3 linked regions of the Drosophila melanogaster genome follow. The protein of the gene in region 3 interacts with the protein of the main gene of each other region in a pairwise test. Each region holds a gene or a part of one and is shown on either strand. Other genes may lie near its edges.

The links.
Region 1: the proteins of unc-119 (region 3) and CG32264 interact in a two-hybrid assay, tested with the Drosophila melanogaster proteins (one large-scale study listed by BioGRID).
Region 2: the proteins of unc-119 (region 3) and l(2)k14505 interact in a two-hybrid assay, tested with the Drosophila melanogaster proteins (one large-scale study listed by BioGRID).

Annotation. Positions count from the first base shown.
Region 1 is NT_037436.4:3,784,617-3,790,198, forward strand, and holds the start of CG32264 (uncharacterized protein), read right to left. Parts: upstream 3,345-5,582; 5' UTR 2,941-3,344; intron 1-2,940.
Region 2 is NT_033779.5:21,259,028-21,263,255, reverse strand, and holds l(2)k14505 (lethal (2) k14505), read right to left. Parts: upstream 2,089-4,228; 5' UTR 2,022-2,088; coding exon 1,922-2,021; intron 1,845-1,921; coding exon 1,537-1,844; intron 1,480-1,536; coding exon 1,299-1,479; intron 1,244-1,298; coding exon 993-1,243; 3' UTR 845-992; downstream 1-844.
Region 3 is NC_004354.4:7,287,611-7,293,621, forward strand, and holds unc-119 (unc-119), read right to left. Parts: upstream 3,689-6,011; 5' UTR 3,183-3,688; exon of another isoform or gene 3,179-3,182; intron 3,068-3,178; 5' UTR 2,956-3,067; intron 2,786-2,955; 5' UTR 2,641-2,785; coding exon 2,135-2,640; intron 2,069-2,134; coding exon 1,896-2,068; intron 1,655-1,895; coding exon 1,536-1,654; 3' UTR 757-1,535; downstream 1-756. Other genes in the region: CG2059 (uncharacterized protein), read left to right, coding at 1-30, 99-236, 301-439. UniProt on the Drosophila melanogaster protein: Myristoyl-binding protein that acts as a cargo adapter: specifically binds the myristoyl moiety of a subset of N-terminally myristoylated proteins and is required for their localization.

The DNA of each region.
Region 1 (5,582 bases), on a different chromosome or scaffold from region 3:
GTTTAGGGAGTTTCGCCTGTAAAGCCAAACAATGGGCTGCGAAAAAAAAAAAATCGAAATAAATGTGAGACCAGAAAGGAAAGCGTTGGGAACCAAATAGTAACAAAAACTAATGCGATTTGCGGCAGCAACAAAAAAAAGCCTCTCGGATTCATGGATTTTTCGTTTGAGAGGCGCCGCCGCCAGCCAAAAGCAATCAAATCCAATTAAATGCGAAAAAAAATCCTGAAAAAAACGCACAGATAAAAACGGTGGAAGCAGAACTTTTGTGTACAACAAAAAATATTGTTTATGTAAAAGCAGCAGCGTAAAAAAAACAAAAATATACCAATAACAACTTCCAGCACACGCGACTTTAAACAACAAATTTGTCGAACGCCGCAAGAAAATTTCAATGAACGAAGGAAAGGGGGGCAGAGATGGAGGAAGTACGGAGGCAGCAACAAACAGAAAAGGCAACAAAAACCGAAACAGCAGCAATGGCAAAACCAACAACAATCAGCTCTTTTGACCAGCAGCTGTCGCACAGTGGGATGCACAGTGGGCAATTAGGGGTGGATTAGCTATCAGGTGCAGAAATGGTTTGTTTAAGCTACAGAAAAATTCCTTTTTAAATGCCAATCTGCTAATATTAAATTGGGAAAATATTGCGATTGTGCACAGTAATACCTCCAATTGTCATACAACCCATTCCACTGTGCCCATGCAGCACAGTCCACAAGCACAAGTGTTCGGGGTTGCTGCTAATGGAACGCAATTCACAATTCACTGGGAATTCGCTATCTCTGTCTGCAGCACCCCTCTTTGTCGCTCCCCAGTAGCTCCGTCTCTTTCCGACGTTGCAACGACAATGGCAGCAACAAAAGCAAAACAGCGGCAGACAGCAAAAACCAATGGACAAAAACACAAACAAAACGGTGGACAAGAGTCGTCATCCTCCGCTGTTTTTGTTGTTTCGGCAAAACTTCTTTATCCCGGAGAAGGGAAAGAGATGGGCATATGAAGGGAGAAAGAGAGGGTGACAGAACGTTCGCATAAATTTAAAATTGCGCGCAAACGGCGCCCACAAAGCCAAACACCACAGTATGCAATTATCTAAGGAATTTTTAGTAAACTACATGGTAAACTGACGGGGATTCCAAAAATTTTTTATTTTAGTTGCTCAGCATGGTCACACTGTGCATTTCGGTTGAGTCAGCTGACTATAACAGCTGATGCTCTACAGTAAACAAAGAATTTGGAATCTCGAAAAATGTCCTGTTGTTTATAATTACACAATATTTCAATTTGTGTTTAATAGCTGGGTAATCCCAGAATAAACTAAGTGTAGTTTTTGTCTTGACTTCTTTTCTTATGACAGCCTTAGTTTCAATTAGGCAAGCACCACTGTCCGAAAACAACAAGGAAAGGCAATAAAAGGGAGCAGAGAATGCGTTTTGGGGGTTGCTGGATGCTGCAAAGGGGGGTGCTTCACAAAAGGGCCTGCCACTGCTGTGGGTGTGGGGGGGGGTCGAAAGTCGTCGCAAAGTGGAGTAAACTGAAGTCTGGAGCACAACAAAAAGCAGTAAAGGCGGCGGCAGAGGAAAATCCTAGGAGAGGGTGCGAAATCTCGCAGTATACACACCACTACCAGACTTTTCCTATACACATCTATGTACATACATATACAAATGGGTGGCACAACAAAAAAACGGAAGAAAAGCGAAGGAATCTGTCTAGACAACATTGTAAGTAGATAAAAATATTTGGTCGGAAAAATCGGGCGAGGAAATAATGAAATATGTAATTTCCTACACCGTACACCCATCTCTTTCTTTCCCCGCCTATCACTACTACCACTATCTCTTTCCGGCAGGTAATACCTTTTTTGATAAGGAAGCAATTGTAGCACATTTCTCTGCTATTTTTTTCAATTGCACCATCATTAAAATTGTGTTACGGATAAGATAACACAAGTTGGCGCTATATTTTCTTCACATATTTCCCACTTTTCGTGTGAAAATTCCATTTAGCGAGGCAGCGTGCCCCGTACACGCTGAATGAATTAATTTATTCATATTCAACATATTTATGCATTTGTGTAAACAAAAAGCAGGTGCCCGAAATTACTGTAAAGCGGTTATTGTTTACGCAAATGTTTGAATTAAGGAAAGAGAGAGTGAGACAGGTAACTGCTTATTTTTTTGACTGGTTTATTGTTATTTTCTGTTTATACTATTTTTATGACCGCTCTTTCCGCTTTTTTCAAATTCTTTTGTTATTGATTTCACTTTTCTGGATGGTTTTTTAAATACTTGAGATACAGTGGAGCTTTAAAATGGATAACTATTTATTTAAACTTTCTAGCACTTCAAATGATATGAGCATATGAGTTAATTATCTAAAGTAATTTTTAAAAGTTGTTTTCTAAATTAAATAATATAATGATATGATCAGATAATAGCTTCCTTCTTTACTGAGCGTTCACTGTGATCGAATTCACATGAAAGTATTTTTTTTCTTTGCACCTTGCGTATTTTGTTTTGCATCACCTGTCGCAGCTGATTTTTCATTCACACTATTTGTTTATCTACGATTATTATTTTTTTAGCTGCTCGTTAGCTGGTGAAATTCCCATAGAAAATTCATTAAAACCCAGCAAAGGAATTTTAGTTTTAGTTTCTCAGAGAGAATTCGATTGTTCGCTGGTGTGAGTGTGAGTGTTTTGTATGTGTGTGTTTAGTGTGTGAAGAGAGAAGTTGTAAAACCGGATTTTCCTTTTGGGCGCTTTCGTAGTTTTGTTGCCTTTTGCACTTTGCCTCGATCTTCGATTTTTAATAGCCACTTAAATTCGATATTGGGCTGTTAAAAAGTTACAACAATTTTCCTTTCTGCATTTTCTCTGCTTTTATTTTCTTTTCTCTGCTCTTGCATTTTGCACATCACTTGCTTTGCACTTACACTTGTTGATTATTTAATGTGCAATATTTTTATTGCGTTTACTTGCACTTTTTCGTATTCTTTACTCTTCTCAGCTGCTTTTCACTAATAATTTATTTAAATCAAACTGAAGCACGCACACAGCTGCACGTAGTTACGCACACACACGCACGCATACACTAAAAACGCCAAACGACGCGCCGGAAAAAACAACAAAAAGAACAACAACGAAGAGAGCGGCGAAACAACAAAAATCAAACGTTTCAAAATTCTCTTTCGCTTTGCACCGCGAAATTAAATCAAATCGAAACTTAAAAGATTGCCAATGCGATTTTGACCTAATGTTTATTGTGTTTTTTTTCTATTTCGAAGCGAGCGCGACGCTGTTTTTCCGACTTTACGATCCCCAATTGGCGTTCGATGTGCGTTCGTCTGCTCTCAAAAAAATTGTGACAAAAAATTGTTTATATGCCGCAGTGTGGCCAGCTGCTTAGCGGCCGATAAGGCCGAATTTGCACCGTTTCGCGGCATTTGTCGGCAGCGCGGTCACACTCGAGAAGAGAGCGGCTGGAAATTCAAAATTTAATTTGGCGCCAAACTCGATTTTATATCTATTAATAAATTTCTTGATAACATATCGTATTTACACGTGGCTATATAAACAGCATCGAAATATTATTACAAAGATAATATAGTTGTATCTTTGTTTTTAATCGAAATGGTCAATCTTTTTCAATATGATAAATATTTGGTTAATCATTAAGTCATATAAATCAAATTAATAAACGACGTTGAATCAAGTGACGAGTGAACTTCGTCTGCCTTTCATTTCACATTCACAGCAGTTGATTATAGGAACTCAAATTGAATTAGATTTGCCCATTGATTTGCATTTCGCACCCACAAATTCCGCCACCCGATGATAATTGCCAATTTGGGTGGAAAGCCGCCTCCTCTGGCGAGCTGGAAAATGTCGAAAAACTATTGAAAATCAATTTGCATTCCGCACCAGAAACATCCAAATAATGCGATACTAATTCCCCTCTCGAAAACTTTAATACCTCAAAATCCAATGAGGCAATCGGCAAATGAAAATCTTTTCGAGGGAAGCGAAAGAAAAACAAGAAGCAACCGCACTTCAAAAGCAATTTCACCTTGTTTTTCCAAAAACAAATACACACTGAACCAAAATTCAATTCACTAAACAATGGCGCAAGGCAAATCTCTTTTCGGCCATATATAACTTTTCGGTAAGGAATTTCCCAAACTGCTCTTCAAGAATTTTCACGAGTGGTGGCGTCTCCTATTTTTAGGCCCACTACAAAAACACCCTACAGTGAGCGCTCGGAAAAGTGAACTTTTAGTATAATCTTATATATAATAATATATAGAAGAACTAAATGGTAGATTTTCCCAAATTTTACTTTGAATTTGATAAGGAGTTTGAATTATTTTCTAGTTAGTTATATTAAGTCAAGTAAGTATTTACCTCATATATAGTTACAAATATTTATATACATAGTAAATATGTATATTTATATATGGCAAGTACTATTTTTATAAAACAGGAAACGGAAGTATCTTTCGCTCTAGTTGAAAATATTTAATGAGAGCTAAATATATAAATACGAAAAGGGGGGCATGGCAGGGGGAAAACTCAGCGCTGGAATTTTGTTGTTGCTCCAGAAATGCCGGCAAATGAAAAGCGCAGGTCCGCAAATGAAAAACAGAATGGAAAATTCAAAGAGAGAAAATTTTCAGGGAGAGAGCACAACAATAGCAGTTTGAGAGGCGCCGCAAGTTTGCGAAGCACTGCTTCAAGCAGTGCAATATTTACTGTTTATCGCATGCGAGAAATTTCTCGCCGATGTTTTGTGTGACTCCAAAACTATACGAAGAAAATTAATTTTGTAAATGATCGTTCAAATATATTTACGAACTTAATATTTAAAGAGACAATTTATAAGATTCAAATATTATGTTTAAATGTTTTCATTATTTATGGATAAATAAATTGGAAATCATATTTGCACATTATATTTTTATAAACAAATGGAGTTTGTGCTTAACTCATTTATGGTATCCAACATCTTTGGTAATACTATTTTAAAATAGTATTGTGCTTTTGAGTTCTCCCAACAGTTCAGCGTTTTATTCAATCGTCAAGGAAAGTTTTCCACCCACCGGAATAAAATTCCACTTCATTCCGAGCGAACAATTCGTCTTCAATGTCAGTTTTTCCTCGATTTCCCCGCCCATTTTCCCCGAACTTCTTATCCTTCAGCAAAATTAACTTGAGAATCTTGATAAAAGGGCTGCCATTCATTCATTCAGCAGCTTTGCCGAAAACTGTTCTCAATGCCAGAAGCTGCCAACTTAATTTATATTGTATTTAAAATGCAAAATGCACAGCATTCAACAATGGGCGAGAGCAAAGAAAGTGGGCGCTCTTGGGAAAGTGGGCGGGGCACAGCTGAAAAGCTGCTAAAATTTAACAACTTGACAAATTGAATGTTTGTGGAGTGGGCAAAGCGTAACAGCAAAGAAGGCGCCAAACTGAAACAAAATTTCTATTTTCAATCTAAACACTAAAATTCTATTTTCACTTTTGATTAATTTAAAGCAAATGTTTCTATATCCTTGAGTATTATTCGTGATCAGAC
Region 2 (4,228 bases), on a different chromosome or scaffold from region 3:
GCGACTGGGAAAATGTATGCCTCACTGCTTTGGCAACACTTTTTTTTACATTTTTTTTTAGTGAAAAGGCACTCACAAACGCACACCAGCACAAACATTGGAACAATCACGCACTCGAACGACGCTGCTTACCAAACGCGCCAGTAATATTATCAACTGCCTTTGCTTTCGTTTGTTTTCTTGCAAACTTAGCTTTCCTCGGATTTACTGGCGAAAAATGTAGTTTTGCACTTGATTAATTAGCAACAGAATACCACCGATGATGCGCCACCCACGTCCGAACCAGTGTGACCGCAGTGTACAGTAGGACTGTACCGTAACTATTTTAAAATACCAAGCAAGTATTTATCAGAATATACCACACCTACGAAAAAAAATTGCTTAATTATTTTTGTTTTTTGAGACTTCCTCTAAGCGCCTATTACACTAGCACTTAATTTTTTCTTAAGTAAGATAAATAAATGTCCATGTTTTGCCAATGGGTTCCAAAAATAGGGTTCTATGTCAAGGTGCAAAAAAACCGAACCTTAAATTAGGATTAAACAAACTAAATATTTCTAAAATTTAGTAATCTCATTCAAATTTAAAAATGTTACATATATCCTACACATTTGTACATGTGTAGTTCCAAAAAACTTAATGTACTTCCTTATGTTCACTGCCTCCACGTATTGCTGTACCAGAATCCTTGTGGCTTACTAATTAAAATCAGAACTAAAATTCAGTTGTGTTATAAGAGACGTCAAAAGAGTATGTTACTTTCGTGCTTAAAGAAAGTATGAAAAAATGATAATATAAACCGTATTATTACAACAAAAAAAAACCGGTAAGAGCTAAAAAAAAAGGGAGGATGACCTGACCTTGATAAGTTTCAAACTAGGCACGATTTATATACATCTATTATTATGTCCTAGGTCCTAGGAGACCTACATACGTGCTACCATAACCCTGTGGTAGTCAGCTCATATGTATGTTGAACAGGTATTTTAATTTTAAAGAATTATCTTTTGCTTAACAAGGTTTTCCGAACAGTTAAGGTGTACGAAGAGCACGGCAGCCGCCAGGCGTGCTTGCAACTCCTGTTGGCTTAAATCATGTGCCCACTCCACGCGACCCCAGAACTTAAGTTGGTATTCTTCCTCTAGACGCGCCAGGGCCACAGCCTTCTCCACGGTAAGCATCTGCTCGATGACGGCGCAGGCAAGGACAATCGACTTTAAGGTGTCCACAGCGAAAATGAAGCCTGGAGGAAAATATATTTAATAGACGTTGAACTCCAGACTTATGGTCTGCATTACCATGCAGAGTTTCCAAACTGTAGGACTGAAAATGCTTTGCGACATTCATTTTATCCTGCTCGCTGACCTGAGGCGGCGTTATGTTCATGGTCTTCTGCAGGTTTGTGTCGTAGCGCTGGTTGAACCAGGCGATCACCGGGTCCCATTCATTCACCTGAAGGTCCTGCAGGTCCTTTTCGTCCTGCAAAAGATATATGTCTGTGGAATGTGCACTCTAATTCTCAGTTGATTCACTCACATCGTACTGGAAGAGCACCGTGTCTGTGGCGATGAAGTTGAGAAGGTAGTTGACCATGTCCAACTTGGAGAGGTGATTGGGATTGTCAATGGCCGTGAAGCAGAGCGCGGATAAGTGCATGCGGGAACGCTCGATGTTTTCCTTCTGAGCGTCGAACTCAGTGGCTACAGCAATGGCCAGGGGTTCGCTGCGGACGATGAAGGGTGTGCCCTTGGGCGTTTTCAGTTTCCGGTGATCCAACACCACTTCATAGCCGCTGTCGCCGCTCAGTACGGAAGTCTTCTTGTAGAATCGCTTGGGAGGAGAGGCTGCAGGAGAAGAACCGCCGATCGCGGGATGTTATGAAATGGCAACACACGTTTTTATTCTGGCTATCGCGGCTTACCATAGTGGCGCACAGTGAAACTGCTAGCGGCTCCTTTGCACTGGCTGAAATTGGTCAACCGGAGAGCTCGGATGGCGCTAACTACATACTTTCCGTTCATTTTTAGAGTTTGTCTGCCTGTCTACTTGTCTTCAGCTGTTTAACAGCAGAGTTGAGTTTTCAGTGTGGCTGTAGTACTTTTTCCACAAATCTCAATAAATCAGTCGTAGGTACTGTTTACCTTTCTGTGCTACTCCACTGCCTTCATAAGGACATCGAGGGTATTCCCTTAGAGGAATTAATCGCCATTTATAGCTTCTAGTCGAGTAAGCTTTTAACACTTGGGTCTCTTTTAGCGACTGCAGATGTCACTATGCGCACTAATTGCATGTGCGGTATTTTTAAAAAACTTGTTTGTTTTTATTAATTTCTGACTATTGGATATGACCATTGTATATGTTTGGCCTCATCATATTTTTGGCACATCGATACAATGTGCAAGACAAATGATAAAATCAAAACCTTTTCCAAAACTGTAGCAGTGACAGTTGTGGGCGTTAGTATGATTGAGGCAACGTTCTGAAATAAGCTTGCAACGCTGAAACTTTAGCAACATATTCTAAGATAGTGGTGGCTCTTTCTAACCATCTAAACACATTCCTTTATAAGAATTTTATTTAAAAATATGAATCCTTATTTTTGGGCAAACAAATGTTCTAAAGTTGTAACATACAAATTTTCAAATGGATTAATTCGTACCATTATAAAGTATGTATATATATTATTACTAAATTATTCTGTACTACTAATGTGGGATGTATAGATTACACATACTAGTTTTGTTGTAACTTTCGGTTGCTACTTTAAATTAGAAAAAATCTGTATCCACCATTAAATTATAAACTCATGTCTTTATATAAGCAATACAATAAAATAAATTAATTTGTAACCAATGAATAACTAACAACATATACATACATATATATATATATATCGGGTAACCGTTCAGTCTATAAATTTCAGGACCTGTTGCAAGCACTCATTTATCAATCATTCTATCCCAAACATAGTTACTGTTACATTTTTTGTGTTGTTCAATGTTTTGATTAAAAGCAGATATGGAGCGTGCCTACATAAACATCGAGAAAAACGAGGATAATAATCAAACTTTTGAAAAATGTTTTGATATTTATTCATATTTTTATTAGTCTTAAAAATTTCTGTCGATTTGCCAAACAACTTTTTGACCCGCCCATTCTATAGCCCTAAAACCGCAAAAAACTGCCACGCTGTTTGATAAAAATTGATCAAAAATGGCAAAATATTGATTAAAAACAAGAGAGAATGCTATAGTCGACTTCCCTGACTAGCAACCTTCTAGCTTTTATCGTTCCTGAGATCTTGACGTTCATACGGACAGACGGACATACCTAGATCGACTCGGCCATTGATCCTGATCGAGAATATACTTTACATTGTCGGAAACGCTTCCTTCTGCCTGTTATATACTTAACAAGGAATCTAATATACCCTTTTACTCTATAAGAATTTTGACGTATCAGTTTATTCAAACGAAAGGGCAGAGCCAGATTGAATAAGCTGTTGGGAACATTTCCTTTTACCTGTTTTCAAGGAATCTAGTATACCCTTAGGCTCCGTAATAACAGTGAAACTAATATTGATTTTTCGCATTTTTATTACAAAATATTGCATTGACAATTGTATATCAATTATTGTTGAATTTTACTTATTAAATTTATTTAAAAGCAAAATTGAGTTTTAAATTTAATAAATGATGAATTTGTACGTAGCTAGAGCAAACATCACACGCAAGGAAAACTGTTTTACATTAAATATTGCGCTATGGGTTTATTATTTTTCTTTAACTATTTAAGCAATGCGCCTAGAGGGAAAATTGCGTAACTTTGTGTATTCATAAAGAATTATTAAAAATGAGTTTGTTGTTAACGTAATAAACATTATAAATTGTTTGCGTGTGCTTTGCTTAGTAAATAAAATATTTTTGATTTCAGTGGTCTTAATCAGTTAACTATGATAAATGTATTGAAATTTATTATAGCGCTTTATTTATAAATAAACATTTAACTAATTTCATTTATACTTATGGTTTACATTAACGGACAGAAGCGGTGTACGGCAGAAGAACACGATCAATATGAACTGAGATCCTCATGTTTCATAGATACAACTGATAAAGGAAAATTAAAGAAACAAATTGTAAATACAAAATCGAATGGAGAACTTATTATATAGAAAGTTTAACAGAAAATGATTTTCAAACTGAGAGTGTTAGCACAATATCCATGA
Region 3 (6,011 bases):
GAATCTCCGAAAAAATCCTGACACCGGCGCGTAAGTTTGCCACATATGTATTTGGCCTTTTTTGGGAACCGCTTTAAAATGAGATAATCTTCCTATAGTTTCTCTTGGGCCTGCAATGCCCATGTTCTTCGTGAATTCCTCACCCGCTTCGACAAATATCAGAGTAATTTGGAGGAACTGCCGCCGTACACGGGACCCACTACGTTCATTTGCGGCACGCGATCACCTTACATGAGGTAACTTGGATCCCGAGGTGCTAAGTAAACTAAACTAATTGAATCTTTTTGCCATCTTTATTAGACGCGAGCAATGGCCACAGATACAGAAAATGTTTCCCAATTCTGAGATCCACTGGCTGGATGCCGGACATTTAGTGCACTTTGAAAAGCCGCAGGAGTTTCTAACAATAGTCAGCGAGTTCCTGAATAGAACTGAGTAGACCAAATTTTGATATTTTAACCAAATGTACAAAGAAGTCAATCGCGTAGATCGACTTTAGCTAAATTGGAAAGTGAACGCTTTGTTTTTCTTGGGAACGGGAATTCAAATTAATTTCACTTCAGAACTCGAGAAGACATTCTTCAACGATCTACGCAGATCTTCAAGAATCTTCACCGAAAAGAGCGGGATAGCAATATATATATTTTTTTTTTTGATATAAGCGTTCTGAACTTGATGATTTTTCAGAATATAATAAATTTCTTAAGCACCTTTAGTGCACGAAATGCCCTCGATTTAACCCCCTTAGAAAAGTTTCAATTTATAGTGGTGTATGTACATTTAAAATGTAATTTAATTTATCATTCTTGTTCGGCGTGTAATCGTTAGTGTTTTTTTTTTTTTGGATTTCCAGTTACGTTCGTCTTTTTCCATTTGGTTTTTGTTTAAAAAATATACATACACAGACACGAAAAAAATGCCATGAAGAAGCTGATAGATTTCGTATGATTTCGTATGCTGCATACAAAAATTGACGGCAAATGGATTTTCCTCAATTTTTTTTTTTTGAAAATTTCCAATTCGCTTCTCATAAGTTCTGTGTGTGCGTGTGTGTATACGTACGTATTTTATATATATGTATTTGTTGTTTCTTGTTGGGTGTGTGTGTGGAGTGTCCTTACTTATTAGGATTAAATAAGTGTGTACAAATACATATATAAATCAAGGGAAATCACATAGCACTTAAAATTATATAGTCAAAGTGGAAATCATTGATAAATGAACACAATCCGCGTGCTTCAGTGTGTTGTTGTTGTGTTTGTGTGTTAGTTTCCGTTTGCAGGAGATCATATCTTGATGCTAAATACATCAAACAGGAATGGTGGGTAAAACTTTGGTGTGCTAAGGCTAAAATGGCTGTGATAATATTCCTCGATTCGATTCGATGTGTTTGTGAGTGTGATTGTTGACATTGAGTGGGTGTTTCGTGTGTGTGTGTGTGTGACAAGTCATTGATTTTGTCTCACAGCTTCTGTAGTTTCTAGTTCTTTAGTTATTAGTTTTGCTCTAGTTGCAGTTCCATTATAGTTGAGTTTCTAGACTATATTGCCGCCATCGTAGGCGTAGTCGGCTTTGTTGTGCATGACGAGTCGGTTTCCCACAAAGTAAAAGCTGTCCGAGCGCGTCTCAAAGGGGCTCGATATCATCTCAGCAACTAAAAAAAAATGGAAAACGAACGAACATATTTATGTGAATTGCATTTCATTAATAAGTCCACATCCTACAAACCGATAACAAAAAATAAAAACCATGATAGCTGCTCGCAATCTGACCAATAGAAGCCTCATCTCACAGGCGCAAATCGTAAACGACCTTGACCCACAAACCCCTTCAACTTTTGGCAGCAACTTTCAATTGCGTGTCATGCTGGCTGGGATTATGTAAAAATTGCTCACCTAGGTCGGGTGGAAGGTTAGGAAACTCGTAGATGTGCTCAACCGTATTCTTCGAAAATGGAAAGCAAAAGCCGAACTCAAAGTCAAACGTCTTTAGCAGGCGATCGCGGAAGAAGTGGCGTTCGATCATACGAAAATTATTAAGCGGCTGGCTGCCCACAGTGAATTCCACACTGCAAATAAGGGAAACTTACAAATTGAGAGGCATTTAAAACAAATGCAAATACTGTATAACCTACGTGGCTCCCACTGTTTTGAGGTTGAGAAATGCCGGTGTGAACTGATAGCGCACATAGCGTCCGGCATTTGGATCGGCAGTGTCATCCAGTGACAATTTCTCGGCAGCCGCCAGCATGGTTTCATCCGAGGACAGTCCTTCCGGATATTGTTCACTCGGCGGTTTGGCGATCTCGAAGAGCACAGCGCCGCTCTCCAGGTCGCGAATCTTGAACCGCGTGAAATCAATCTCGAACACATTTGCATTGGCGGAGCAGAGATAGTCGTCCGTGATCTTGGTCAGATGGAGCACCTCGTCGGGAGTCACGCTGGAAGACTCCGCAGGCCGTTTGGCATCACCGGAGGCACCAGCGCCCGCTGCTGCAGCTCCCGACGATCCTCCACTGCCGCCGTTGGCCTCCACTCCACTGTTCGAAGAAGAGGATCCTGCGGCCGCGGAGGAAGACGTTGTCACTGCGCCTGCACCGGAGGATTGCACCGGATTTAGTTGCTTACCCACCACGCTCATTGTGCACGGAATGAATCTGGTGGTATTATTTGTCTATAGTCTGCGTTTCGGATTTCTCAAGCTGAACAGCTTTTTTAAGGCTCCTGGCTGGATGGCTGCTGCAGTGGTATCCTTTGATTTGAAGAAGCTACTCCGCTGTCTCACTCTGCGAATAGAAAGGAATAGGCATTGGTTATTAGGGAGTAAATAATAAAATATAGCACAAATACTTTTGAATTTCTATTACTTCAAACTAAACTGAATAATGAAATATCACATTTTTTTTTTAACATAGCAAAAAAAAAAAAAAGAAGTCATAGTTGTTAAGTTACTCACCAACACAAACACACACAAGTGTAGAGTTGTCATAAATTGTGCCAGGATTTTCTGGTGGAAATATAAGGCTTCGTCTCCGCTACCCTATTATCCTTTCGCTTTCCGCTCCTCACTATTAATTTTTGCCAAATATGAATAGTTATTTGGCGAAAAGCACAAAAATAAGTTAAGTATAAGGTATATAAGTTAAAATAAATTCAACATAAATGCAAACACTACTTACCCACACGAATTCAGGTTGCAAGTGTTGCCATAACATTTAGCTGTCAGCGACAACAACGTCCACGACCATTGCAACAACAGCAACAACAACAACAACACCGAACCGACGACGACAGCAACAAATGAAATTCGTTTGAAAATCACCAGCAACAGCAGCAACAACAACAACAACAACAACAAATGACCCAATTTCTGAAAAAGCTGCGCTCTCCTTTTTCCTTTTTTTTTCCTTTGTGTTTGTTTTTCCCTTTTCGGTTCGCGTCCTTTATGCGAATGTATGTGTGTGTGTGTGTGTTTTTATATGTTTATGTATGCGCAGGGATTCATTTATTAATTTGGTTTTAGTTGCTGTTGGCACTGCCCGAAAATCAATTAGATCAATTTGACCGGCAATGCTGCTGGTGTTGTTGTTGTCGTCCGCAAAAGCAACTTAACGCACTTAAACGCTAAACATTGCACCTTTTTTGCCCACTTTTTTTGCACTACTCAGCAATCGATAGATTATCGATGATGCATTACAGGAAATCGGTGAGACCGTTCGCGCATGGGGAAAAACTTACGACCAACGTTGCCACATACTCGCAAAAAAACATTTCTGCGTTCTAGCAGGGGTCACACTGTTGGCGCAATATTCAAAATATTCTACATTTTACATCTAGAAAAAAGGCTATTCAGATTTTTAACATTATTTATTGTATAACCGAAAGTAAGCGAACGTTTGCAGAAAGCTTAATCGGAAATAATGAGTATAGACAAGTATAAGTATAGATTTTCACATCTTAAGCTTAAATTGAAAACCCAAACTAAAAAATAAAATGCATATACCCCCGTCACTCGCCAGAGTAAACCACTATATACAAAGCAAATTCGAAAAGGAAACACTTTGGAAGCGTGCAAATGTGTTAAATGGCGTGTTGCGATCGCCTTCCCATGCATTTTTGTGGCCGACAATTAGTTAATATCCATGCAGCAGACTGCCGCTTGCTTCTCCCGCTTCTCAAGTGCGCCGTCGAGTGGTTTCCTTTCCTTTCGCTTCCCCTCCCTTCGCCTAGAATGCAGATAAGCCCGGCCTAAAACTCAAGTGTCCTCCTATCCACATCCCATCCCATTCCATATACAACGCACCCATACTCGGACCCATTTCGATTTCCATATTCAGACGCACGGGCGCCAATGCCAGATCATGTTTGTGCACTGCGAGAAATGCTGGCTATAATATTATTTAGATCTATTTCGATTTTTCACGCTTAGTGAGTCGCTATTTTAGTTTATAGATTTCATGTAAATAAAATAGCACTATGATATTAAGATAGTTTTTTTTTTCATATTCATACATAAATGTATTTTTTTCTTTCAGTGCGAGACGAAAGTACTTGAGTTCAATTCTAGCTCCTCCTTTTCACATTTTCTCTGCTTCTTGCCGCTGTTATTGTTGGCCTTAAGTGGGTATTTTAATATTCGCAGCCGGAGCCAAAGAAGTGTTAAGTTTCAGGGGCCACATATGCACTTATCCCCCGTCCACTGTCCACTGCCCCTGCCCCTGCCCCTGTTTTTTTTTCTCCATTGGCGTCCGCGTTTCCTGTATTTTTTTTTTGTAGTTTTTTTTTTTTTTTTTGTTTCTTACATTGGTATTGGTGTGTATCTGTGTGGCAGCACTGGGAACGTGTTCGGCTCTATCTTTAGTACAGTTTGACTGGAGATCTCCAAACTGACCCCCCCCCCCTTGCACCGCCGCCCCTCACTTGATTTATCCCCCAAAAACTCACATAAAATCTGCAGACAGCCGGGCACCTGAGGAATATGCCATCTGACAGGCCGAAAGGGTCGACAAAAGATCCAAGGAATTCGCGGGATAATCCATCTTTTGTATCAGCGCAAATGCCATAGGCAGGATTCGGTTTCATTTGAGTTAAATTTGCTGTTCCATGAGATTAAATATTTTCGAACCAATTTTTAATGACTGCAGCAGGTGGCCAATTTAAAAGTACTAACTCTATATTATTCAATTATATCAAAGGACACTTTTAAGGATAATTTTATTCGCCCAGAGGATGGTAACCCAAAAATACTTAACCTGTTTTCTTCAGAATTTATATACATACTAATGTATATAAGCTTTTCCAAATAGTAGCTACATCCGACTTATCACCGATCGATTTACATTTACATAGCAAATGAAACTTAACGTTCGATTGTTAGTTGATGAAATTTGTTTGAATATTTCTTTCTTTCACGGACGGACCATAGAACTTTTCGAGCCATAGAACTCAAGTACCCCCTCCTGTGTACTTCAATGCGTGTTTGTGTGTGCGTCTGTGTGCCTGGGTATCGAAAACAAACAGTAGAGCAGCAACAAAAACCAAAAATCGTGGGCGATAATATTCGTACTCGAATGGCCGAACAGGGGCGTGGCACAAAAAAAGGGGGCTAGAAATATTTTCCAAAGCTTGTTGCATCTAATAAATGGGATCTTATGGTCATAGTATTACGTTGCTCACATTTTATAAAGTACTGCATACTTTCTTGGGAAAATGTTACGTCTGCGCAGCCTGTTTTGTGTGCCTTTTTATAAGAAATCCCCTTCGCAGAAGACGCCACTGACCCTATTCCAAGTGGCGATGACGTTATGCGCGCCGGACGGTCTGGCAATGCAATGCACACTGCACTCGCACTCACACACAGATACAAACACACCACACACACACACACATACTCCACATCGAGTGGCCGTTTCGGAGAGTGTGTTTTGCTGGGGTTTATTGCGTGTGTGTGTGTGAGTGTGTGCACACTCCATAGAGTAACACCTCCCAAGCAACGCGTTCAGTTCGTCAAAA